Linked DNA regions of Drosophila melanogaster. The protein of the gene in region 1 interacts with the protein of each later gene in a pairwise test. Each region holds a gene or a part of one and is shown on either strand. Other genes may lie near its edges. The genes, in order: mi and can.

Region 1 (6,986 bases):
GCGTGCATTTCTCTCCTCTCCACCTTCAGTCACTTATCTAGTTCTCCCAGATGATCTTCACGTTCAGCTATGGCGTGACGTATATATTTCCCGCCGCCCTTCCCATCATCAGGCGGGAGGTGGGCGAGGGCACCTACAGCCTGTCCGCCTACTACGTGGCCCTGGTGCTCTCCTTCGTGCCCGTGGCCTTCTTCAAGGGCTACGTCTTCCTGTCGGTGATATATGCCTCCATATACTACACGCGCGGCTTCCTTTTGTACCTCAGCATGGGCTTCCTGATGAGCCTGTCCGCGGTGGCGGCTGTTGGCTATGGGGTCTTCCTCTCCAGCCTCTTCGAGTCGGATAAGATGGCCTCCGAGTGCGCGGCGCCCTTCGATCTGATCTTCCTTATCTTTGGCGGCACCTACATGAATGTGGACACAGTGCCTGGACTAAAGTACCTCTCGTTGTTCTTCTACTCCAACGAGGCGCTGATGTACAAGTTCTGGATCGACATCGATAATATCGGTGAGCTTACCTCCAAGTAGATAATCAGGATGCATGTTATCCAATAATATTTTATCCAGACTGCCCCGTCAACGAGGATCATCCGTGCATCAAGACCGGAGTGGAGGTGCTGCAGCAGGGATCCTATCGCACCGCCGACTACACCTATTGGCTGGACTGCTTCAGTCTGGTGGTGGTGGCCGTCATCTTTCACATCGTGTCCTTTGGGCTGGTTAGGCGATACATTCACCGCAGTGGTTACTATTGATTGGGGCGCTTTTATTATACTAATTTCAGTTTACACTGTTACAGAACTTGCTTCAGCTTAATTTCAGTTGCATTGAGTACTCGTGCGGTAGTTAAGTAAAATTTGTAATTTTTAAGCACAAAATGTTCTTAATACATCTAAACTTCAGTGGAAAATATTGCATTCATCAAATTTGAGTCGCATAAAATAAATCCCATATAGATCATGTATGTATGCCGTTACTAAAAGAAATTTAACTTGCATTTGAACTACATTTGAGCTCAAGGAAAAGTCGGGAGTCTTGCGAGTCGAAGAAGAGGCGATCTATAAGATCTATATCAGATTATTTTACTTATACCTATTATTATACGATTGTCTGTCATTATATATAAATGGTTTGAAAGGGTTTAAAGAGACCTGACAGTTGAATTAATAAATTAAGCTAAAACAAACAAAAAATAATGGAAACAAAAACGAGTTAATCTTTTTGCTTACAAGGCTAAAGAGCTAAAACTCATTTACACGTCGGGCAGCTCCTTGCCTCTGCTCCTAGAATTTCAAGGGATCGGAGAGGATTTATGGGCATCATATTATGATAATGACGTTTCAACAATTATCCTATTGGCCCTACTCTTCTAGCAGTCAAAGGAAATCTGTCTCTTGGCCTTGCCTCCGGAGTGGTTGCTGTTGCCCACGGGTGGCATTTGGAACTTGCGCGCAGAGCTGTTACTTCCGCCGCCTCCGAAGTAGGGACTGATGTTCTGCTGGTCCTTGCCGGTAAAGTTCTTTTGCGCCGAACGGCGAGCCTCGCAGTCCATGTTCTCGCGCAGCGCGAGTCCGCCTAGGTTACTCTTCGACGAGCTGTTCTGGAGCGAGGCATTGGGCCGGATGGGTTGGCGTTCCTTGCAGAAGAGATCCTCCGAGATGCGATCCACTATACTCGATTGCGTTTCGGAGCAGGCATTTGTGGGCAGGCTCATTTGACTCAGACCGAAGGAATCGATGGAGTTCTCGCTGCCGAAGATGTTGTGCAGGGATCGCGCCGAACCTGCTGCTGATCCTACGACCGATGTTTGCGAGAGAAGCAGTTTACGCTGGGCAAACTCCTCCGGACCGATGTAGCCCGAGAGGCGGGTGCTCGACAACCGCTTGGCCTCGCATTCCTGACTGCGCGCCTGCAGGTAAACGTCGTCCGCATTCTTCCCCGCAATCACGCTAAAGGCAAACTTCTTGGCCAGCCTGCGGAAGGTGGAAGTTCCAATAGTGCCTATACGAGTATTATATCCACCCCTTACTCACCTTAGCAGTGTTTCGCTGTTGCTGGACGAATGTCCCAGGTAGAATTCCTGGAAGATGCGCTTCACAATGCGCGTAAGGTCTGCCGCATGCTGACGGAATTGCTCGTGCTTCGGCGTAATTTTCTTCTCCTGCAGTGCCTGCGACACAGCCCAAAGGAGTTTCTGTGGCAATAAACGAGATTAGTTATGACGGTTAAGTGAACGAATCTTAGGGATAAACCATACACAAAAGGCATAATTTGATGTATAGATAAATAGAGGCTCACCTTTCGCTGGTTATCAGTCATACTGCTATTCGGTGTGGCGCTCATCTCCGAGTGCGCTCTGTGCAGTTTACTCGCCAGTGGCGTACCGCTTGCAAAAGATGCCGGGTTAACCAGGTTGCTACTGCTGCCGCTCAGGCCAAGACTGAGCCGCGTCTGCCCAGGGGTAGCAGCCGCGTGCTGCGCCAACTTTAGCTGAACACCCGCAGTGGAGGAACCAGCTCCAATGCAGAAACTCTGGCTCTTGATCTTTAGAGCGCGAGGAGTCAACCCACTGGGTCCACTGCTCTCGGCCCGGAAGAGCTTGCTGCTCTGGCTAGCCAAATCAGCTGAATCCTCGTCGTCATCGCAGGCGTTTCTTTTCCGCTTCAGGATCGACTCCAGCTGGTTACTGCTGCCCTGGTGATCCGGCGAAAAGAGAGCGCGCTTCGACCGCTCTACGCGGTTCGCAATCTCCGGCTTGAAGAGCGGTTTGGGCGGCATTAGCTGCTGTTGCTGCAGGGTTTTGGCCGGACTTTGGAATAAGGCACGCTTAGAGGTTTCTCTCGAAGGTCCTGGCTTGATGAGATCAGTGCGGTAGAGGCGCTTTCGGGCGGATGAAGATGGCGTCTTGCGAGCTGGTGCAAATGCATCATTAACAAAAGTACATTGGCTTATCTTATCAAATCACTCACCTTTTTTCTTGCTGCCCGGCGTCTTTCGCTTGGGCGTGGCCTTGCGTTTATTTCGCACTTTTCTGTAAGCCAAAATCATGGAAATTAGTATGTGTTTGGAGTTTTTAATCACAAAAGCTACCCACTTCTTATCTAGCATTATTTGTGGTCCAATTGAGCTGTTAAGCTTCTGTGAGTTGGTGGCTAGATTCGCAGATGAAAATATGGCACGTCGTTTGGCCAAATGACTGAGGCGATTGCCAGGCGATTGGGTTAACATTCTGTAAGGAGTTGGGTTCAGTGAGTTAAACGTTCACACGGCTGACTAATTTATTACTCACTTCATACGCATGTTTCTCTTCTTGGCGCTCGATGGCGATCTCACATAGGACGTCGCGGTTTCCACGCCCACATAGCGGTCCACCACGGACATGCTGAGGTATTCATTTTGTTCGGCAGCCTTGTTAAGATTGTAGCTGTGAATGGAAGCGGGTAATGAAAACACTGCAAGCACAAACGAATCCTTTAAAGAGCATACCTCAGTCCATGATGTCTTACTCCCAGCACATCCCGCCAGCCCATGTTTTGAGCCTCCGAGAGACTGTGAGATGGTCGAAACAGTGAGGTTGTTTCGCTAATGCCACTGTCCTCGATTCTGGGTGTAGATGGTGGGCTATCCTTGGAGAGAAAGTTTAGCACGTTTGATTTCATGCTAAGCACCATTTTGATGACGTCCACATCGGGTGCAGTCACCGAGGGCGGCGGACGAACTCCCTGTAGGCAGCGACGAATCCGCCGATACAGCTCCCGTTCTCTCCTGCAGTTCTCCAAGAAGTGCGACCGGGGGTCGTTGGCGTTCAGCTGGGTGCTCGAAAGGTCCATCGTCTGCTCATCCACAAAACTGGACTCCGTGGGAGCATTCAGCGAGGAGCGAGCTCGTGCGTCGCTGGTGCACTGCGACTCTTCCAACACTTCGGGCAGATCCTCCAGCCTGGTGGGCGGCTCTTTTTCCGGTTGCTCGTCGTTGTCAGCTTCATCGTCGCTGTCGGCAAAGAGATCAGGTGAGCGTTCGTTGTTGAACTTCTGCTGCGAGGTGTTGAGCGAGGTTTCTAGCACGTTTGACAGACGTGGATTCGTAGCATTGGAGGGCCCAGGCTTGTCCTGAATTTCGGGCTTTGCGGTCAGGCTCTTGATTTTGCCATCGAAGGAGAGGCTGCCCGTTGTCGTGGTGGCTGTCGTGGCCACTGACACGGCCATGTCCACGGCATTGCAGCTGTTCTCCTCGATGAGGGTGTCGTAGAACCGGGGAAAGACAATCTTGCCCGGCGAGGGACGTCGGACGGCAGGGGGCTCCACCTCCGGCAGCTTAAGGTTCTGCAGCTGGGAGCCATACAGACGCTTGTTCACCTGGCCATATGGGCTGTCTCCGAAGCCCAGGAACTGCGATTCCTGGCTGCCCGTCTTCGGATTGGGTGGCGTTGGGGTTTCCTTGATGGGCTGGCTGCTCAGTGCTTTCGGTTTCATCAGATACGGTAAGTTCATGTGATCCTCGTCAGATATGTGGCTCTCATTGTTTTCACTGAGCGAAGACTATAAAACACAAAGTTTCAGCAAGCTCGCAACCGCAAGGACACCAATTAGTCTTACCCCGCTTCCTGTAGAAGGCTCCGATTCGTAGCTGTTGTTTATCTTGTTTCCAATAGTGGCCATTCTTCGAATAAAAATAGATTTCTCGTTGTAGTTATAGCTTCTTCTATAGCCCGAAGTTATTTTAGGCACGCGGCATTTTGTACAGGCTGCTCCAGTTTGTGGAGCCTGACGAATGGCTAGATTGACGGGGCAGAGAAAAGTGAAAGTAAGCACGGGGAGTCACTGACGATTTTCTTATCTTAGCCGCATTAATCTTCTTGGCAGTGCATTTACCTTTTGGAAATGTGGCACTTTTCCCAGGTCGGGGAAAACTAAGTTACCCAAGCGAAAAACGCGCGTAGAAGTCTGACTTTTGCGGACATTTAACGCGCTCGAGTCGCACGCTGCACGCCTATCGCTAGTATCCAGTTGTGCCCGCGAGCTTGTAGCTCCTAATGCATGTTGTCTAGCTCCTTAAAATACCTTTAATTTGTTAATTTATCTATAAAACACTGTTGTTAAAATCGCCTGTATGAACATCTGCCTGCTTTTGGCGGTGGTACTAACGCGTCTGGGAAATGCAATTAGTGATGGGCGATAGTTTTGCTATCGGGTGGCATCTTCCAAGCGGTAATCGGGGTCGTGATTTTTCTAGTAGTCATATTCCTGATTGGAATCCTTGCTAACCAATCAAACTAACACATAAATATATTTTTTACGAATATATTTACTTGTGAAACAAAGTTATTTCCTTGCGAAATTCTACTCTGCAAGACCAGCTATCGCTGCCAGCAGCAACTATCGCACCTCGTGTCAGCCCTGGTAAACAGCTGTTCGCGCATAACATAACACAATAACAACAAGCCTTCAAATTTATTAAATCTTTTATCTTTACTGCTGACTGCGCGCTTTTAATCGCAGCGCCCGCTTTGAAAACCCCCACCGACTCCGATAAATTCAGTTGTGCCCAAGAAATCAGACGCAGCAGGCCGCCAAAGGGCCAATTACGCGCTTCCCAACCACTGGCTCTGCAAGCAACAACAACAACAGCAGCAACAACCACTGAGCCAACAACACATCATCTCATCCATTTTACAAAAAAAAAAAACGTCACTAAAGTCCACGGAAAGCGATGCGATTGAGCCGCTAATCTCGGCGAGATGCGCGGAATCGAGGGCAAAGTGCTTGTTCTGGGCTCGCGAGGTAAGCACACACGTTTCCACCCGTTTCCGATTTCAATGGCCATTCGGCGGACTCCATTCAGAAGTCTCAATGATCCGCATAATGACAGTAATTCCATCAATTGCCCAGTGATAAGATTAACAACCGGGGTGAGCCGATAAGCCGTAGCCTTGAACTCCACTGGCCCCAATTGGGAATCTGCAGGCTGCATGCTGCAATCTGGATTTAGGTAGATGCAGAAGAGAGTCTGGCAAAGACAGCGTGTCTGGTTGGGATTAGGCTGAACTAGCCGATGAATTTAACCACACACGATGTCATCACATCAAGATGACGTTGCCCTTGGGATTTGGATTTACGATAAGAAATCTGTGTTAATGGGCCAAATTTGATGGCTTCCGTAGTGCACAACTCCGAAACTTAAAATTGTTCATTTCTACATTTGTACTCCAAAAACATATCAAGGGGGAAGCCTCCACCGTCTACCCTCTTCTACACAACAAAGTGGACATTTTTTGCAGCGTAATCGGCTGACGAATTCGCAATGAGTATATGTATTTAAGTTTGGCCCAAGGTCAACTAAGGGGGCTTATATGCACAGCGGGTGCAGTATTTGCTCTGCTTTTTCGCCAAACAAAGGGACGCATTGATAAAAAAAAGGCGGTACTTTCCTCGGAATATACGTTCTTCCCATAATCGCCGGATGATTCAGTGCATGCACATACTGCAGCTCCACGCGGAGATTCCCCGTCTGATCAAACACAGAGGGGCTTCTCTGAGCCACAAAAAAGTGGGCGCCGAACAAAGAATCTCGTGGTCGGTAGGCGATTCCTTATCGCTGTTTACCACCTTTTGCGGGCTAGTGCGTCTCCAGTTTTTGTTTTGTTTATTCGGCTCAATTTGCGTGATTAATCAGCGGTCAATTAATGCGTGCGCCATTCCACGTTCACTGATAAGCTGCACGGCATTATGCTTGAAGCGAAATAGGGCTCACGGGTACACAGAAAGACAATGCTGTATCTCTCGATTAATTGCATAATTTGTGTTCTTGTCTTGCAGGTGTGGGCAAAACACGTTTGGTCATCCGCTACATAAAGAACACGCTGCACCGCAAGGAAAGCGAGGTACCCACGATAGCCGTGTCCTTCTTCACGTGCAACATCATCCTGGACGAGGTCAAAATTAAATTGCAAGTGCGTATACAGCAGCCAGAATATGTATCAGTGCGACC
Region 2 (5,557 bases), on another chromosome or scaffold:
TGCACCCCGCCCCTGTGGAAAATTCCCTAATCAAATTAGCAACAGTTAAGCGGAAGTGCGAAAATCCGCAAGCTGCATTGTTTGTTGTGTGTTTACTTTTGGCTTTGTTGCAATTTGGGATTTCGGTGTGTGTGTGCGGTGCATTTATTTTGATTTGATTGTTGGCCTCACTCAGCGGGGCTTTCGCACTCGCAAATTTGCATTTTTGGATAATTTTTGCATTTCGGATTTTGCATTCTGGCATTCGAGTATTTGCATTTGAATGTTCGCGTGCGTTGCATGAATCATTCATGTTCGAGTTTCTGTTTCTGATTCAGATTCTGGTGGTGCTGCTGCTGTTGCGGCTGGTGATGATTCAAGTATCGATTTGCATTGATTTGCATTTCAATTGCAGCTTTTCGACACTTTACAATGGATTATGCTGCAGTGTGATTTATCTATGGCCAGCATTACATATCAAGTGATTTGGCAATTGTTGCTGTCCATAATGAGGCTTTGTTTGCCATTGTGTTCGCCTCTAACTGTTGGCCCTTGACTATTGACACACATACCCATCCATGAATACCAATTGCCAATATTCCTAGTTTTTAATGCAGTTTTTTTTTTTATTTTATTTAAAGCACTTAAAGTGTGCATCCCCGTGCGCGCCATAAATCATGGCGAAAATTACAAAACAATATGCAGCTACATTTTCTGCTTCTGCTGCGGGTTGTCCTGTCGCCGGCTTTTTGTATATCCATTTTTTACGCACGTCTTTTTTATTTTATGTGCCCTGCAAAATGAGTTGCCAGCGCCGCCGACATATTGCCCGAACTGCGGAAGAATTCCAAACGCATCCGCGGGTTTTGGTCCGCCAGCATACTCGCACAATTCCACTGACAAGTGAGTGGTGAAAAGAAGTATCAAAACATAAAATTATTTTTAGAGCCGAATGAAAAATACTCTGTTAAAAAATATTCCAAATTATTTAGATAGTTGTGTAACCCTGTTGGTCATTAAGAATTTACAATAGACTGACAAACTTTCACCTTCAAGGTAAAACGATTTTACCTTTGTGAGCAGATCTTTGGGCGGAAAATTAAAAACACCCAATATACATATAGGGTATAACGTAAAATTAAAAGAGGTCCCTGAAATGGACAGTGGCATGGGAAACCTCTGCGTAGCAACAAATCCGTCGAGTATTGGGTATGCAAATTAATTTTTTTTTACCTATGGACCAGTCGTTCAGCCCCTCCACCACCCCTCGCTTTTTAAGGACACCCTGGATTCCAGCGCCCTCATGTGATGTGCTGCTGAGCCAGCATTTTGTTTCAGATCAGCGGTAGTCGCCGTGTCATGTTGGGTAAAATTTGTGAAAAAAAATGGATAAATCGAATAGAGGGAATGTATTTGAAAACATAATATCAACCACAAAAGTTGAGCTGGCCATGCCATAAAGACCATTTGAAAAGTTATAAGGTGTTGTAATATAAATTAACAATTAAGAAAGAAATATATATATATATTGGGAAATACATTTTGTTTGTTAGAAACAATGTACAATATATCCAAAAAAAAAAGTTTTAACGTCATAAAACAAAATCAGATTTTGGCTTTTTGGCAAAATGGGCTTCAAAAATACGGCCACACAATGCGCAGCTGTCAAATCGAAAACTTGTCAAGTCAAGGAAAATATTCACTTATTGCACTAGGGCTGATTTGGATTGTTCAAATATTTAAGAGCAATAAAGATGGATTTACCATTGCCAATACTAATACCATCTAGTGATGTGAGTAAGAATATGTATGCGCTTTCTAACAACTGGTTAAAATAAGTATCCAAACTCTTCATGCGCTCAATCAGGAAGTGTACGTTATTTCCGATTCGGATGATTCCGATTCCGATGATATCAGAAATGAGCTTATGAAACTGGAGGATAACAAGGATAAACCCAAAAACAAGGAACGCCAAAAGTCTAAGAATGAAAATAGTCAGATAAAAATGAACAAATGGTATTTGAAAGAATTCGAAGACCTTATGGGACTCGAAATTGCTTGCTCCGATGATGAAGACGATATAGATGATCGTAATAGCGAAATATGGAGCAGCTCGGAGTCCGATAAAATTAGCGATTCAGATGATTCCAACTCAGATGGTAAGTTTCCAAAAAGGAAATGCATATTAACAAAGTAAGGAACGTTATTTTCAGGATCGCCCACCGAATGGATTAACAGAATAAAGAATGTCAATCTATTTCCATTCAATAAAAGGTTAGCGATATTAACAAATATTTTCGGACTTAGTTTACACTAGAGTTTTTAATTCCTTTCCTTTAGTGCTGAAGATGAAAAACCAAAGGCTTGTGAAGAACTTCCCTCAATACCAGTTTTTACTGGTCCGATGCCATCGATGCCGATTTATGATGAAGAAACCTGTCAATTTGAAATGGTGCCACCCATCATACAACCAGACTTAATTAAGGAAGTAACGTAAGTCTTAAGTTATAATTAAGTTACTTCCACTAATTCTGGCACACGAATCGCAGTGACGCAGAAATGCCAATTGAGTTGGATAAATCCGATTCTGAGTTGGAAAAAGAAAAGTTAAAAGCCGATGAGGATGACAACTTTTCGGACAGTAACACCAGTTCCAGTTTTAGTTTGAGCAGTTTAGATGATTATGATTATGGTGAAACTGATCTTGATGAACAGCATAACGAGAATAAATGTACTTACTGGGAGGAAATGTCATTGCGTCCCGTTGACAAGGGCGAAGTTTCACAAGAAGAACTAATGGCTATTTTGAATGAAGACGAGAGTTCCCCAGATCATCGAAGTGAATGTGATATCGACGAAGCCATTAGGACCCGTGATGGCTCAGATTTTTACGAAGATAGTGCTCAGTTTCTGGAAAACATGGAAAATGTTAGCTTGTTGGTTATCAAAGAGGATTCGGTTTTTGCGGATTATGAATTCGCGGTAAAGAAACTTATTAAACTGATCCAATCGACACCAAGTCACTACAAATACGAGATATATATTCTGTTATATCCCTTGTTGGTCCTAACTTATCTCCAAATGATGGCCAGTGATAAGATACAGAAAGCTAGGATGCTTCTTGTTCGCTTTCAAGATCATCTCGACGATTCATATATATCAAGAATTATAAAGCTAAGAGAAATTTCCAAGCCAGCAGAAGTTCCGAATAAAGCACGCAAATTATTGGCTGGCCTTGAAAAGGTGAAGATTGAAATGTCTGAGGGAGCTTTTCGACAGTTACTTCTTTGCACAGAGGAATGGACTAGAGGTCAGCAAGAAAAATTGCTGAGCCATTTTCAAATACAGCCTTATAGTGAAGATGACAAGCCCCAGCAACGATTTGCCATAGGACAGCCTCTTTTGGAGCCGATATGGTATGGTGCTCCAGAACCCTTGCACAAAAAGGACTTTGCCGCTCGTCCTTTTTTTCAAAAACGTCGCAAGAAAAGGAGCGAACCACAGTTATCAGATAATTTACATTTGCCACCGGTAAATAGGGTTTACAATCCGATTCCCAACAAAATGGATTTGCTTCACATGAAGAGTGATGAACAGTATCGAATGAAATTAGATCGGAATAACCTGCCATCGACTTACTTGTACACAACTTCTCCCTCCGATGAGGTCGTGATTTGTGCCACCTTCTCGGAAGGCAATAGCATGTTGGCACTGGGAACTGTATCCTCTAAGGTATATGTTTTCTCTCTGAAACCCTCTAAATTGGTTCAAGTGAAAGCTGCACAGTGGCTAAAAAATCTGGATACCGGAATGGCTGGGGTTGATAAGGATATGATAGATCCCATTAAGAAGTTCACCAGACGTACTCTGTACGGACATCAAGGACCTGTCTATGGTTGTTCCTTTAATCCAGAGGATCGCTTTCTGATCACATGTTCCGAGGATTTCAGCGTTCGCTTGTGGTGCCTTCTGTCCTGGAGTTGTGTGGTTATTTTTTCCGGCCATTTGGCACCGGTTTGCTTTGTTGTTTTTGCACCAAGGGGTTATTATTTCGCCACCGCATCGGATGATTGTACGGCGAGAGTTTGGATGCAGGATAATACGAAACCCGCCCGAATTCTTCAAGGACATCTGGCCGAGCTCGGGGTGTGCCTATTTCATCCAAATCGTCACTATATGGCCACTGGATCTGCTGATTGCACTGTTAGGATCTGGGATATTGTCAAGGCTGTTCAAGTGCGCATTTTTCGTGGTCATAAAAGCAGGATAACCGCCTTGATCTACTCAATTTGCGGTCGTTATTTGGTTTCTGGAGGCGATGACAATCTCATCATGATTTGGGACACAGCCAATGAGATTTTGATGCAGTTCTTTGACCATCATAAGGCCTCGATTAATACCATGGAAATCTCTTTGGATAATAACATATTGGTTGTGGGTGGACAGGATTGCCAGCTGACCTTGTGGGACTTTGAGCAGGTGATTAAGAATTACTTGAACAGGGCCAAGATAAGTATGAAAAACCAGGCGGGAACTCAAGAATCGAGTGCCAATAATTTGCTGGTCAGCTCATTTTTCACCAAGGGAGAACCATTTTATATGATCCGCTTTACACGTCGCAATCTCTTACTTGGTTTCTGTGTGACTCCTCGAGAATTTGAGAATGATGTCCTCGACGTGAAGCTTAATCAGAACAAGCACAAGGAGGAGAAGAAAAAGGAACTCGGCGAATGGCTGGATTTTCTAGACACCATCAAATTGAAGGCTTGTTACGATCTGAAGGACGAAATTAATTTGGATACTTCGCAGGTAGAGAAGGAGAACAAATCTTAATTATTGTAAGCTCTCTCTTAAGTATTTAAATAAAAAACTGTAAATAAATGTATATAAACCATCGAAAGTTTCAAATAGAACGATTGCGTTTTGTAATTCACAAAAATAATGCTTACCCGCAAAATTATTTTTAAAGCAGGGTTGTTTCATGTTATTTATGGAATAATATTGGAGATAAACATTTCGTATGACAAATATACAAGATTTTCTGAAGCAGAGACAAACCCCCAGAGCGAAGGAGAATGCTGCAGTAACAACAATTTGACAGTTTCGAAAAAAAAAAAAACAGGTCAGGCCACGTGTACAGCTGCCCACGACTCATTCCTCCTTGAAAAAAATCCACTCCTCCTGCAGGAGATTTCTTCGTGGTCCTCACATTTACAAAAGGCGTGCAAAATTTATAGAGGCACGCATTAAAAAATCCGCCAGGCACGCTCGACTAACTGCGTCCAAACGCCCATGGGGCTGGCAGTTGAGCTTCGAATTGGTCCCGGCCGACCGCAGTCCGATGTCCCTCGTCCTGCGTCCTTCGTCCTTCGTCCTGTCCCGCATCCACGAAAAAACCCCCCTTAAGAATAAGCGACAGGACAATATATTTACGCAACTTCTTATGCTGCCGCTTTAGCCGGTGGTTGTTGTCCTTCTCTTTCGGCTTCGAAAACAGAACTCAAGTGTTGTCGTTGTCCTTGCTGCCCATGTACGCTCCCTTGGCAACCAAAATGCCCCAGCCCCACCACCTCTACGC

The links.
Region 2: the proteins of mi (region 1) and can interact in a two-hybrid assay, tested with the Drosophila melanogaster proteins (one large-scale study listed by BioGRID).

The regions. Positions count from the first base shown.
Region 1 is NT_033778.4:23,522,021-23,529,006, reverse strand, and holds mi (minus), read right to left. Parts: upstream 5,152-6,986; 5' UTR 4,871-5,151; intron 4,774-4,870; 5' UTR 4,658-4,773; coding exon 4,595-4,657; intron 4,538-4,594; coding exon 3,486-4,537; intron 3,424-3,485; coding exon 3,289-3,423; intron 3,229-3,288; coding exon 3,094-3,228; intron 3,031-3,093; coding exon 2,969-3,030; intron 2,912-2,968; coding exon 2,298-2,911; intron 2,194-2,297; coding exon 2,033-2,193; intron 1,973-2,032; coding exon 1,369-1,972; 3' UTR 755-1,368; downstream 1-754. Other genes in the region: RabX1, read left to right, coding at 5,737-5,779, 6,815-6,948.
Region 2 is NT_037436.4:10,263,242-10,268,798, reverse strand, and holds can (cannonball), read left to right. Parts: upstream 1-1,687; 5' UTR 1,688-1,733; coding exon 1,734-1,772; intron 1,773-1,846; coding exon 1,847-2,138; intron 2,139-2,192; coding exon 2,193-2,253; intron 2,254-2,319; coding exon 2,320-2,472; intron 2,473-2,528; coding exon 2,529-4,812; 3' UTR 4,813-4,890; downstream 4,891-5,557.